Bombyx mori: one gene and its partners. The protein of the gene in region 1 interacts with the protein of each later gene in a pairwise test. Links are inferred from orthologs where the notes say so. Each region holds a gene or a part of one and is shown on either strand. Other genes may lie near its edges. The genes, in order: 14-3-3zeta, Golgi phosphoprotein 3 homolog sauron and slowpoke-binding protein.

Region 1 (4,382 bases):
TTAGTTTTTTTCACTTTGAAGACCAGCCAATAATAGGAAGTATTTTCATCTCATTATTCCTTAGCTGGAGTCTCCATGTTCGTACCGTAATCAATACGTATTGATCGCAGAATATAATTATTTTCTTAATAAATATTTAAAATTGTATATTACAATGTGAAGATAATAATAATTTTGCCAGCGTGAAAGGTCTGTTAAGTGGCATAAGCACCAGAGAGAAGGGGTGCCGGGTGTTTAAGCCCTCCACTAAACACGACGAGCCACGACTAATGCAAAGAGTATAACATAAAGAAGGAATGGCCTACGTAGTGATATGTCCGCTGCACTCCTATTGGGTCATCCAACTATAGTGTTTCAGATCAATGCGTATTCATTAACATCTTCACGATGAAAAAATAGCATAGTGAAATAAAGTCAAACCCGCAATAAATTGTTGCTACGAGCTAGCTTTTAAGATATAATTATGGACAGTATTAAATTAAACACTTACACTTACTTTCTATATTATCGCGTTCGTTTGTGCTTATAAGCTCCCACGGTTTTAGAACGATCAAACCCTTTAAACGTTACAATTTCTTTAAATAGTAAGGGGCTTCGATTATCATTTGTAGTTCGCGTGGGCTCCATTAGAATGCCGTTGGTCAGTTTTGGTTGCGCTATTTGTTAGTGGGCTCAATGAATTTGGCCCCCTTTTTTTTATTTTCAGATTTTTTTTATTTTTAATTATTTGTTCGTTAATGTTCGAATGTAATGCTAGTTAGATATAAAATAATTAATAATTGGGAATTTAATTGTTTTTATGATTGAACAATCACCAATAGTCGTCGAACAAACGATAATTGATCAAAATTAATTAATCTAAGCGATAAAAATAAAGATATCTAGTAAGGAGGGGCAACTTAAGGGTGATCATTTGTTTAATTAATCATAAATAAATAAAAGACGAACAAAAAATTTTTACATTCGAACATTAACGAACAAACGACAAACAAATAACTAAAAATAAAAATAAAACAAAAATAAAAAAGGGGGCCAAATTCATTGACCCTTGTTAGTGCCATACAAGAAATAGCTGTCGCTGTCAATTTTTTTCTTGCCCTTGTAGGCAAACGAGCATACGGCTCCTCAGATGGTGAATGATTACCGTCGCTCATGGAAGTCAACAAAGGCTTTTGTAAGAAGAACCAAGCTGCTGCCTAAAAGAAATGTTGTTGGGCTAAACTTTCCTTATGGTCCGTCGATTTGGAAGTTCACAATTTTTTTGTAGATAGTACTCATAAATAGAAAGATTTCTGTAAAATTTCAAGTTGCGGAAACTCACGGTTTACAAGATACATTTTTATAGTTTCTATATAAATTGGAAAAATCAAGGTAAACCTCAAAGTTGACGTTTCACGTTCCATTTACGGTAAACGTGTATGTACTATATTAAATTTTATGTCATGTTTTTTACCGAAATATATTTTATTATTTTATATTCTATATAATTGATATAATATTTTAATATATAAGAATAAATAGCAATGCTATTTTAATCTAAAATTTTACTAAGGATATCTTCATGTCCATGAGGGATCTGCAGGTTGATGATGGTACAGGGGGTAACCCCGCGCAAAATTGATGGACCATAATGTAAATTTTAATCCTATTTTTACTAATTAGTGCTATTCTAACCTCAAAACATTAACCATGAATATCTCCGTAACCATGGGGTTCCGCGGGGTGGGGATGGTGCAGAGGGTAAACCCCTTACCCTCTCCCTCCCCCACTCTCACCCCGACCCAATAATCGACGGACCATAAAGGATAGTTTAACCCTGTACAAGTTAGTGACTGGCTGGTGTGCCAGAGTGTTCTTCTCTTAAGATTTTTATTATCTAGGATAACTTTATTTGTAGTACCTAACAATTCAAATTTAGCACAGTAAACAAGATAGTCCAAACAAAAATGTAAGCAAAACCTACACTTGAGTTTAAAATGAAGTATTGATAATTGGCAAGTAATTTTGCAGTATTATGTACAAATCATTCCTGACCTTAGTAAAAAAAACGTAATGCTTAACATAATTTATTGTGATTAAATAAAATAGTTATGTCTCTTCCATTATTTCGTCTACAAGTACATTTTCTTGATGATCATCATTCTCTGCCTGTTCTTCATCACTTGGAGAATCATTGTCTATATGGATACCTTTTCCTTTTGTCCAGTGACATTTAATCACTAACTTAAAATCTGCCATTTCTATGCCTATCAATTTTAATATACTTGCTTGTTCTGGGGTCAGTGGAGCACCTTTCTTGCAAACCTAAAAAATCAAAACGAATTTGCCATTATTACTTACACCACAGTAACTAAAACTTCAGCCTACATTATGTTTCGATAATGTCAACACTTTGAGGTATTAAGTAACACATAACTAATTACAAAATTTTGAAATTAAGTAAAATGTTGTGCTTGACTGCTGTACAACATATAATGTCTGTATTTTGGTAATTCTTATAGATTTTGGAGTTGTTGAGGCCGAAAGGGTTACAACCCCAGTGTGGATACTGTACGATAATCGGAAACGCTCGTCACAATGGCTGAGCCCTGGAGACCCAGCCAAATCCTGCCCTAAACGGAAATTGAATCAGAAAAAGTCACTTGTAAGTGTTTGGTGGACTAGCGCCGGTTTCTTTTACTACAACTTGATGATTTTTTAAATTCATATATGTTTCAAGTCTATTGATTCATTCACTTTAATCGATGTTTTTAAGCAGGTCTCTCACTATGAACACAAATGTTACCTATTAAAATAACTAAATATTAGTGAATACTATGTGTTTCACATTACCTGATATTCTTTTATTAGATTGATAACACCTTTTTCTAGAGATGTAGGTAAGCCCAAACGTCTTAAATGTGGCTCAATAGTGTGTGAAAAATCTGCTAGAGGACCTTTGGGTAATAAAACATCTTTTGTTGCAATGAAGCCAGCTCTTGCATATTCTGATGCTTGATAACTTTTAAACCAGTTCAGTACATCAGGCACATCTCTATTTGTCATTAGCAATCCACACTGACCTTTTAATTTTTTTGATAACTGTAACATAAATTAACTTTATTTAAAACATTTAATGCGCTAAATGATAGAAGTTTATTATTGCTGGATGTCACAAAAATCCAATAGCTTTACTTTTAACTCTTACTGTCTTTATTAATTTTCAATATTGAAGTGCTTGAAGACATTATTTAGACAGGATGCCATTTTCTAAGACAAATTAGTAGTTTCTCTCTCAAATTATACTTATAAATTGTTCACAATTTAATAATTTATGTTCTCCAGATATAAGATGATGAAATAAGTAAGTCAAAGTCAAAGTCTTCTAAAATATTTTGTTGATGATAGATATCCAGTCTTCACAATTCAGCTTTACTCAAAACTAAATTAAGCTACATACACTCACCAGATTTAGTTGCTCTTCTATTTCATCACTCTTGGTCTTACCAAGAGCAATAGCCATTACTTTATTTTTTCCAAAAAAGAATCTGGAATCCTTCCAATCATTCCGTAGGTCCTTTAATTTTGTATTTCTCATGTTATTGATGGTAAACAAAAATATGTGTTCATATTTGCTCAGTGAATTTCTTATTTCTTCTATGACTTTTTGTTTGTGTACTAAACCTTTTTTGTTGGTTTTTGTAAGTGATACTGAAATCAAATATTTAAGGTATGATATACTGATTTTTTTCACTGAAATTGTAATAATTATTATATTTATATGATTGTAATTCAAATGGTTAAAAATGATTTATTTGCTTAAGTACTCGCTTACTTTCATTTCAAGGCAGAAAATGAAAAGGATTTTGCGAAGGCTATTATGATACTGATCATTACTTGAAACTTGGATGTTTTGTTTCACATGTGCATGATACTGCATGGAAAGCTGTTTATATTTTAATCACCTTTACAGGCTGTTCACTATCTTCTGGGAGTTTTAGAAAAGAGAATAGACTTTCCTAGCACACCTAACCCCTTTTTGGTGACAATTTTAAGGTTAGAACGATTTTTTGTAGTGTCGCATTCGTAAATTAAATCTACGGAATACAATCTATTTTGACATCCAAATAATGCCATAGGGTACCAAATTTAACCCTAAGTTCTGTGATTGCCACTCTGCTAAAGTATGATTTTAAAAAGTCACTTACCTTTCTTATCCCTTTTTGATTTCGGCATATTTGTTTTATTATTTTATTATGGAAAAGACAAAATTTACAATTTAATTAGTTCTGCAATTTCAAAAATCACGTGCACTGGATTTGTTGATTTGTTGTAAATTAATATTCGTGATCACAGTTCGTAATGATTTTTTTTAAGTGATTTTATGACCTGGTAACTAAGAC
Region 2 (4,124 bases), about 2.8 Mb from region 1:
CCTTAATGGTAACGACATTATTATTGCAAATTATTTATAAACAATCAGCTTTACTGTTGTTAATTGGCAGGTGTGTATTGAAGTAGCTGGTTTTAATAATAAAGGGTTTTAAATAACTAAATATCAAAACATTATTATTTGACTTACCTTTTTAACTAAACGGCACTTAACGACATTATCTGTGAGAGGGTGTGTCGTCATGTCAAATAAAAGAAAATTTTGTTTTTCTGTTGTTAAAACCCCTTTCTCAACCAGATTTTTAGCCAATCTTTCGCGTACGTTCTTTAACTGGTATTTCAGTTTCATTGGATTCCATGTTTCACCTAAAAATATTGTCCATCTACATCTTTAAAACTCATTTCCATATATTTTCATATAAATAGGCCACGGCCAAACAGTGAAGTATAATTTCTTTTATGAGGTGGCTATTGATAATAAAGCAAATAAATGTAATATATAAGAATTTAAACACTTTTCCCCACCTATTCGCTGGTAGCCTAAGGTGCCATTCCAGCTTCTGGCAGAAGAGATGTTAAGGTGCCAGAAATTATGCTTGAATTTTGATCAGTAGGCAAACCCTAGTAAATATCCTTGCCTTGGAAAGCAATTGCGCCAAGCCAATTTGTTGTAAAATAAAATTAAATCTGTTATTCTATTTAAAAAGATTTATTGTTTTATTTTGAATAATTTTTAGGAGTTTTAATCTATTCAACATTTAATTTAACCACTTATTGGTATTATACTAAAATCTACTGCCAAGTTTCTAAACCTGCCTAGAGCTAAAATCTCTTAGAAATATTGACTAACATAAACCATAGTTTTTTCTCAAGATTATAACATACTTATTTCCAATTCTCAAAAACTGTGAAATTGGATCTATTGCCCTCCAAAACACAAAGTTACAATTCCTGATAAAATTGCATAACTTAATTTTCACAACACATAAACTCTAAGCTCTTGGTAAATGTCATATTTGTTGCACAACTGTAACATTTGAAATCATAAATATTTACATACCACTCAGATATTCAATCCAGCTTTGTACTGTTTCTGGAGGGTCAGTATCTTTCATATGTTTCAGAGCTTCATCTAGCAGAACATCACCGGTTAAAGTATCTAAAATGTTTTTATTTTATTTTGTTACAATGTAATTTAAGAAGAGCTTGTTGATAGTGAAATAATTAATTTTGTTTGCTTATTAGAATTTGAAATTGCTTTAGAGTATCTTGCACAACAAGTTTCAAGAACCATTATAAATTATTATGTGTAAATGTATCAAGGTTAATAAATAAATTATTATTATTAATTATTATTATTATTTTTAAATAATTTGCTTCTAAATATAAAAGAAAATTAAATATTGACTATTTCTACGAAAATATTTTATCAATAAAATAATGTTTGCTAATGTATTTTTTAAATGTTATCAAAATTAATTTCAATTCAAGCTGATACTTTAGTTCTTTTATAGTTAATTATTGATAGCTTGTTTTTTTAAATAATTAGTAAGATTGTTTATTTTCGTCTGTCACAAAAAATCCCCTGTTAGTTCATCATTATCTGCTCACCATATACTAAGAATAATAGATGGTTTTGAGGTTGTGTAAGTGTGAAAGATTACAATTTTTTTTTAAACATTGAGGACTACTCAACATCCTTATGGCTCATTTGATGTTATGTGGTTGCTATTTAGTCTAAGTCTTATAGCTTATAAATTTTAATTTCTAGAAAATATATTATGTAAACAAAACTTAGGATGTAGTGATTAATTTTTCAGACAATTTTCAAATTTCAATATTTGTAATTTGGATGAAAGAAAATTAAATTGTCAACTTTTTTACTATATTTATACTAGGTTAAAGAAATGCATTTTCTGGAACAAAAAGGATATTCTATGTGAGAAAATATAGCTTTAATCAATTTAGCATTAATAGTACCTTTAGCTTCAGTGTTGATCAGTTGTTAATGAGTACTTTAGAATATTCAAAATTTTATCGTCACTTTTAAAACAGATATATGGGTTTGTTAATTAAACTTGAGCAGTAGTCACCTACCTGACTTTACAATCACTTTTCTAGACAACAAGCCTTTCCTACGCATTCCAGCTCGCTCCAGTTCAAGTCGTCCTCTTAAGCCCAGTTCAATTAGAATGCATCCTCTTAGACCACTGGATATGCAGTCATTCCAAAATGATGTATAACCCTGAAACGGTAGAAGATGAGCATGTCACGATCTTTAGACTGCTGGAATGCCATTGTATTTATCAGATCAGTTAGTCATGTAAATATTCACCTCTTTATCCTTTAACCCTAACAGTAACACTTCTTCCATTAATGTCAATTTAGTTTCCTTGGAATCTCCGTCATCATAATTTTTATCATTTTTCTTATCATCGTTGTCGTGATTTTCTTTCTGTCCGTCTGTGTTACTCTCCTTTATAACATTTCTTCGTTGCACTAAACCCTCAGTACGGTTCATATTCTCATTAAGTTATATTTTAAAATGCTAAAACTAATTAATTTCACAAGAAAGAACTATATTTATATCGAAAAATTGTAAATGAATGGTCAAGTTGACGTTTACGTTGCGACGTGATGTTGTTGTCGAAAACATGGCCGACTATACGTTCCTTTTCACCAGAACCATTCAGTGTGTAATTTTATGCATCTTTGCAAATATTATTCAAATCATTTCGATTGATTGATTTACTAGCAATGTGTCGAATTAAATGAATTTGAATACCTTTTAGAAATTTTCATGTATTTGTATACTGCACTTGCAAGCTACAATACTAAGAAAGAACTCAACTCGGATAGCCAGAAATTGAGTACAATCTCGAGTATCCAAAGAAGTCGAGTACCAAGCTGAGTACTTGGGCTGCGACTTATTTTACTTTATTGTAATTTACATTGAATTTACTTTCAAATCTTCAATACCTAAAGCTTCCTAAAGGGTTCAGAGTGATGCTACTATACTGTTGTACAAACCCCACAGAGAGGTATTATTTTAACGAGTTTTTATGTGCTTGGTGTGTACATATGTATCTTTGAAAGTGACTTTCACTCAGTTTAAAGCTTTGGATTTAATTTAAATTCGTATAGTTATCGAGAATCGATGGCAATAGAGTAAATTAATAAAATTTTCCCATTATCGTGATCAGGTTCTTCAGTATTAACGACAGTACGGACAATTAAAAGACAGTTGTGCCACTTACTATGCATCGCAGCGCCTGCTGTCTTCTTTGGATATTCTAGCAGATTCCTTTTCCGGAATCTAAAATTAATTTCACGTTAAAACCCCAGTAGTCACAGAAACTATCATCAGATAGAAGAACTTGATTTGACAGGAGGTGTGGGACTGTGATGGTGTTGCATTGGATGAAATGGTTAGATTACGAAATATATTGTAGAAGGATATAATAACCTGTTTTCACATAATAATATATTGCACTAAAAAGGTGATGCTTCGTTACTAAAAATAAATGCTTAATAGTTTAAGAAACATTTTATCTCTCCCCAAGATATCTATTTTGATGAAAGACCGATTATGTGGAAGAAATAATCTCATACTATAGTTTATTGGAGAATATATTTGATGTAGTTTCATGTGAATAGATTAATTTAATCTCGGCTAATTCCTCAGAGAATCTGCAGAGACTTTCGTAACTTACATTAAGCGATGCAGTTTATAAATTCAGAGATCGTAACACAGTCCCCGATATCCAAATTTTTGAAATTCTGACACCATCTTCTGCATGTACGCAAACGTACTTAAGCTATATCTGGTGTTTAGAAGTCGCGACCCAGTTACACCCAGTTTAGCCGAGGTTAAACATGTCGATAAAGTACAAATTTTTGACCAGGCGCAAAGTACAGAAAAAAGATAAGATCACTTTGTGGTTCGTCTGTATATTTTTTACCAATGATCAAAATTCGATCATGATCATTGAAATCCAAAAATTTTTTTTTTTTTCATTTTTTTTTTTGATATAGTCATTTTGAAAACAAAAAAGAGACTATTTTTAAATATTATACATAAAATTGTGAACACTAAATGTCGTTCATGGCATCTCCACAAAAAACAAAGAAAAAAGCGGAGGAGAAAGGTTAAATATTCTATATTTA
Region 3 (4,451 bases), on another chromosome or scaffold:
TTTGCAATTATATTCTCTTCATTTCTATTTATATTCCACTTATTATATATTCTATACTTATTATTTCACTTATTAGTTTAAGTATTTTTTTTGGGAAACTTTATTCACCTATTATAAATTCTATATTACCTTGGCGAAGCTGTCGGTTCTGATGGAGATGATTTACCAGAGCCCGTGCCAATAAGGGATTTGTTGAACAGCAATTTCGCCAGGGAGTCTATCTTCTGTGCCACGAGAGGTGCACGCTCAGAATTCTCTTCTAAAAGTACAATAAAATAGACACTTCAATTTTTTATTATTATTTTAGGCAACTATATATAATATATTTAAGTTTTTATAATTATTCCTGTGGCGTGATAATGATAACTATTTAAACAGAGACAAACGAAACTTAGCGCATCCGATCTAAATAGTTACAGTTGTAAATGGACAACAGCAATAAAACAGACTTTACACTCCACTTAGATTTACTTATCTAGGTCCCTTAATCAACGTCTTAAGGTTTGAAGAAATCTTAATTCTTGTATTTAGTTCTCAAGTAAAATTTCGAAAATTTCCCTAAAATTTTATAAATTTTCCTTACTTTTTGGGATTTTCTGCGGTACATTGTCTATACATATGTTGTACTTTTTATTATTCGCATATTGTTAATAATAAAAAGCCAGGCATAAAATTAGAAAATAAGCAACATCGTATCGTAAAAAATTAAATTTAAGATCACATTATCGTAAATTTTTCCAGGGGAGTGTGACTCTTCTGTGAATCGGTTGTAGAAATTATTTTAACATTACGTTCCATGGCCATGGAAAAAATTGTGTTACTATATCCCAATTGAAATATATGATTTTGAAATCGAATAGTGCACGTTGCCCAAAACACGTCATTGCGGATCCTCCCGATCCACTAACGTTGCTTTTAGGTACCTAAAGCACCGGTCATCATTCTCGTCGAACCCGTCGCTTACGACGAAGGGTTCGACGAGTAAATCAACCCACAGATACAGCCCACCGAATTTCTCGCCGGATCTTCTCAGTGGGTCGCGTTGCCGATTCGGTGGTATATTCTGCGAAGCACGGCTCTTGGTAGGGTTTGTGTTAGCAACATCATCAGGTTTGAGCGCCGTGAGCTCACCTACTAGCTCGGCCAATCTAGAATAACCCCTCGAGGTTACTAGAACAGGTAGGGAAAAAAAGCAGTCAGCAGAGGTGTGTAGGTCTGAAGTTCATTATCAAAATAAATTACGTAGATAGGTACTTGAACTACAAGCGCACGAGGATGCCTCTCCTTCTTGCTTTCGGCCTTCGTCCGTGAGCGAAACAAAAAAAAATACAGGAAAATCAAACAGAAGTTTACCAAACACCTTTCTAATTAAACTTCTGAATTTTTCATACGCACCAACAATTTATAAATAGTTGAGAGAAAAATCAGGTTCGAACCTTTTACTGGTTTCATTTTAATAAATGATCAGAAAGAGATAAATTTGTGTATGTGCAAAATTCCTATTGCTACTTATCTCTAGTCTACAACACCTAATGCAATTACCAATATACGCCGGGCATTACGCATGCACATTGATATGTTCAATGCGTTTAGTGCGAATTTTTTAACGTTCTCGACACCGTAAAAGTTAAATAAAATTTGTATGGATTTGGAACGTTTGTCTACGTTTGCCGCTAGGAGCGCTGTTTCAACTGCATACCAATTTGAGTTACTTTTACGCTATCGAGAAAGTAAAAAACTCACACTAAGCACACAGTTCACTCAAATGACATGAAGATATTGTAAAGTTATAACAGTTTCGAAACTCATTTTATGTGGCAGTTATAGAAAATAGTATTCGTTTGTGGGGGTTAATTTGCAAAAAACAGCTGACGCAACAGGGGTAAAGCGTTTTGGACTCTCAATGAATGAATATTAGCATTCAATTTCAATTTGAAACATCTAAGTAGAAGTTATTTGCCTACTATAGAAAAAGATTTGCATCTGCAAACCTAATACTTCTGAAATCAGATTGTAGATTGTAAATTTGACTGCAACAATGTTTTAATTACTTTCAGTCAGACACATTTTAATGATTGTATAATAATAGTTATTTTTTAATGTTCCTTAATTGAAAATACATGATTTAAAAAGGTTTAATTACCTTCACTTTCTTCTCTATCTGTGGACACGGAGCGTATACGAAACGCATTCCTTTTATTAGCAGCCGCAATGGATTCAGGGTTGAGTTCGGCTGCAGATTGGGCCCGTCTACAGGCGCCGCGGCGTTTCTTCTTCCTATAGCTGGTTCTCGGACGTTCTTGATAGAACCTGTCGTGCCCGGTAGTCTCTGGTTCCTTTTGCTCCTTGTCTTCGTTGTTGGACTTCATGTGTTGGTATAGATTGAACATTTTGTTAGACTTCTTTCGTAAGAACGCTTTCAAACTCCAAAATTTGCTTCTCATCAATTTCGTTATTATTATTTTTTAAATGCCAATAATTCCAATATCAACACACCATCTTAGTTCAAATAGATGAAACGCTAAATGCTACGTCACGAATTTCGCTTTAATCCAGATACGCTTGAATTAAGGACGAGAATCGAAAGACGTGTGCATCGCAGACCGCAATTCGCTCGTAACTCATACAAAAGTATGTCAAAAGGAACTAATGGAAGCCCCTGTAATGCCGCATTATCCGCGAGCACATCTATGCGTACGATATTCCGATGTCGGTCTTTATGTATGACTTTATATATTTAATCCAATACAATTACGCGACAAGGTAATGTTTTATCGGAAAAAAGGGGAATTATCCACATTCTAGAGAACACAAAGATTAATGCGACCACCACATGCCGGCTTCTCGTATCTGAAAGGTCTTTTCTGCCACTTGTGTTATAATTCTAGAATGAACTCTACAGTACTTCCTTAGAGTTATTTTGGGTAAGCAGCAAGATGGCAGCATGACTTTACTGCTGCTAATGAATACTTTCTTACATTAGACGACCGCAGTGTTCTTCGCCTGTGACATTTAAGAAAACAAAAGTGTATTTTATAAAGTATTTGTATTGTATAAAGGAGCTTAGGTTTGTCTTTTTAGGTTTTTTTCACATAAACTATTGCCAATAAATCTAAAGAGTAAAATTTGCAAACAAACCAAAGTAACTATGGACTTGCACGTTTTAGATCTAAACATTTTGGGGACTTCATTTGAACTCGTCAACAATTGATTTAAACTTCAGCTTAAAAAATTCTAGATCGAATCAGCACGACAAATACTAGAACTTCAAGAGACAGATTATAAAAAGGCCATTCACTTTGAGCCAATGCAAAAACTAGCAATTCGATTAAAACATTCCAGCACGGAGTCCATTCTCTTCGGCATCTAAACAAGCCTCATCTAAGTTTTCTCTCGTGCTCTTCCCATTTCTGGTACATCTCGAAAAACTGCTCCAACAGATAGAAAGTGATGAAGGTGTGAAAAGCCATCCGCAAATAGTACGGTGTGAATCCTCTCCACAAACCAAATATGCCCCTATTCCTCCTTGTGTCCGCCAAAATTTCCTTCTGTGTTACACAATCACTTCTAACTTGGTATCTGTTTGAGAAAATAATGTAAGTTAATTGTTATGTAAATGCATTTATTGTTAAAATTTTACTGAACTCTCCGGGACGACTGTATAGGAAGAGGTCTCGGAGCATCTGGATTAATTATTACTTACTGGTGGTAGGACCTTAAGTAACGACCATTTATCACCAGATGGTGTCTATATGCTCGTTTATCTTAGAAGGTAATAACCAAAGCTAAAAGTTGAAGTAAAAATGGCCGTTTGATGTTTTTGAAAATGTTAATTCATAACAATAATTGCATTTTATATTTAAAAAGAAACATTAGTGGAGAGCACATGGAGCTTGGCCATTTCATCACCCTGTTTAATGCTTTTTTTCTTCTTTTTTTTATGATTGAAGGATTACTAGTAGCCCGGAGGCCTTTCTAGTTTCACCAGAACGTGGACGAGCACGGCCTCAGCTACCAGGGGTGGGATTTGCTAACAGCTACCCGAGCGCCTCCAAAGGAGACCCAACAACTCAAGGGCAGCTGCTTTGCGAATCAATCTATGTTTAGTGCTGCGGATAGGAGGTCACATGCCCGACCCTCATCACGACTGTACTCGATGCGTTCACGAGAACATCTAACCTAGTTTTAATGTGATCTATCGGCAACGAGATGACGGCTGCGATGAAGCTTGATATCATCGACGTGTAGAAATGCAACTCCAAACCTTTAGCCACTTTGTTTTCTTGTAACGCCCTGCGAGTCTGCGTGAAAACGACGTGGAATTATTGAAGAAAAGCAATCATTATAATGTAAATTAAAGGATATCAATTGGCAGGGATGCATTTTGGGCTTTTTAATTCATGCCCTATATTTTTGGCTTCATATCAGACTAGTCTGATGGACTCGCTTCT

Evidence for each region.
Region 2: the proteins of 14-3-3zeta (region 1) and Golgi phosphoprotein 3 homolog sauron interact in binary tests that used the Drosophila melanogaster proteins (3 or more experiments, as listed by UniProt). The link is inferred for Bombyx mori from reciprocal best matches to the Drosophila melanogaster genes 14-3-3zeta and sau.
Region 3: the proteins of 14-3-3zeta (region 1) and slowpoke-binding protein interact in binary tests that used the Drosophila melanogaster proteins (3 or more experiments, as listed by UniProt). The link is inferred for Bombyx mori from reciprocal best matches to the Drosophila melanogaster genes 14-3-3zeta and Slob.

The regions. Positions count from the first base shown.
Region 1 is NC_085111.1:7,657,981-7,662,362, forward strand, and holds the start of 14-3-3zeta (14-3-3 protein zeta), read left to right. Parts: upstream 1-1,399; 5' UTR 1,400-1,632; intron 1,633-2,053; exon of another isoform or gene 2,054-2,088; coding exon of another isoform or gene 2,089-2,304; intron 2,305-2,501; 5' UTR 2,502-2,644; intron 2,645-2,832; coding exon of another isoform or gene 2,833-3,081; intron 3,082-3,445; coding exon of another isoform or gene 3,446-3,690; intron 3,691-3,952; 5' UTR 3,953-4,035; intron 4,036-4,187; coding exon of another isoform or gene 4,188-4,215; exon of another isoform or gene 4,216-4,382. Other genes in the region: mRNA turnover protein 4 homolog, read right to left, coding at 2,089-2,304, 2,833-3,081, 3,446-3,690, 4,188-4,215. UniProt on the Drosophila melanogaster protein: Required in Raf-dependent cell proliferation and photoreceptor differentiation during eye development. Acts upstream of Raf and downstream of Ras, and is essential for viability.
Region 2 is NC_085111.1:10,440,781-10,444,904, reverse strand, and holds the start of Golgi phosphoprotein 3 homolog sauron, read right to left. Parts: upstream 2,801-4,124; 5' UTR 2,479-2,800; coding exon 2,293-2,478; intron 2,203-2,292; coding exon 2,055-2,202; intron 1,117-2,054; coding exon 1,018-1,116; intron 324-1,017; coding exon 148-323; intron 1-147. UniProt on the Drosophila melanogaster protein: Phosphatidylinositol-4-phosphate-binding protein that links Golgi membranes to the cytoskeleton and may participate in the tensile force required for vesicle budding from the Golgi.
Region 3 is NC_085109.1:12,643,793-12,648,243, reverse strand, and holds the start of slowpoke-binding protein, read right to left. Parts: upstream 2,884-4,451; 5' UTR 2,445-2,883; coding exon 2,144-2,444; intron 260-2,143; coding exon 130-259; intron 1-129. Other genes in the region: mitochondrial 2-oxoglutarate/malate carrier protein, read right to left, coding at 3,378-3,579, 4,180-4,301. UniProt on the Drosophila melanogaster protein: Regulator of calcium-activated channel Slo. Increases or decreases the voltage sensitivity of Slo, depending on the absence or presence of 14-3-3-zeta in the complex, respectively.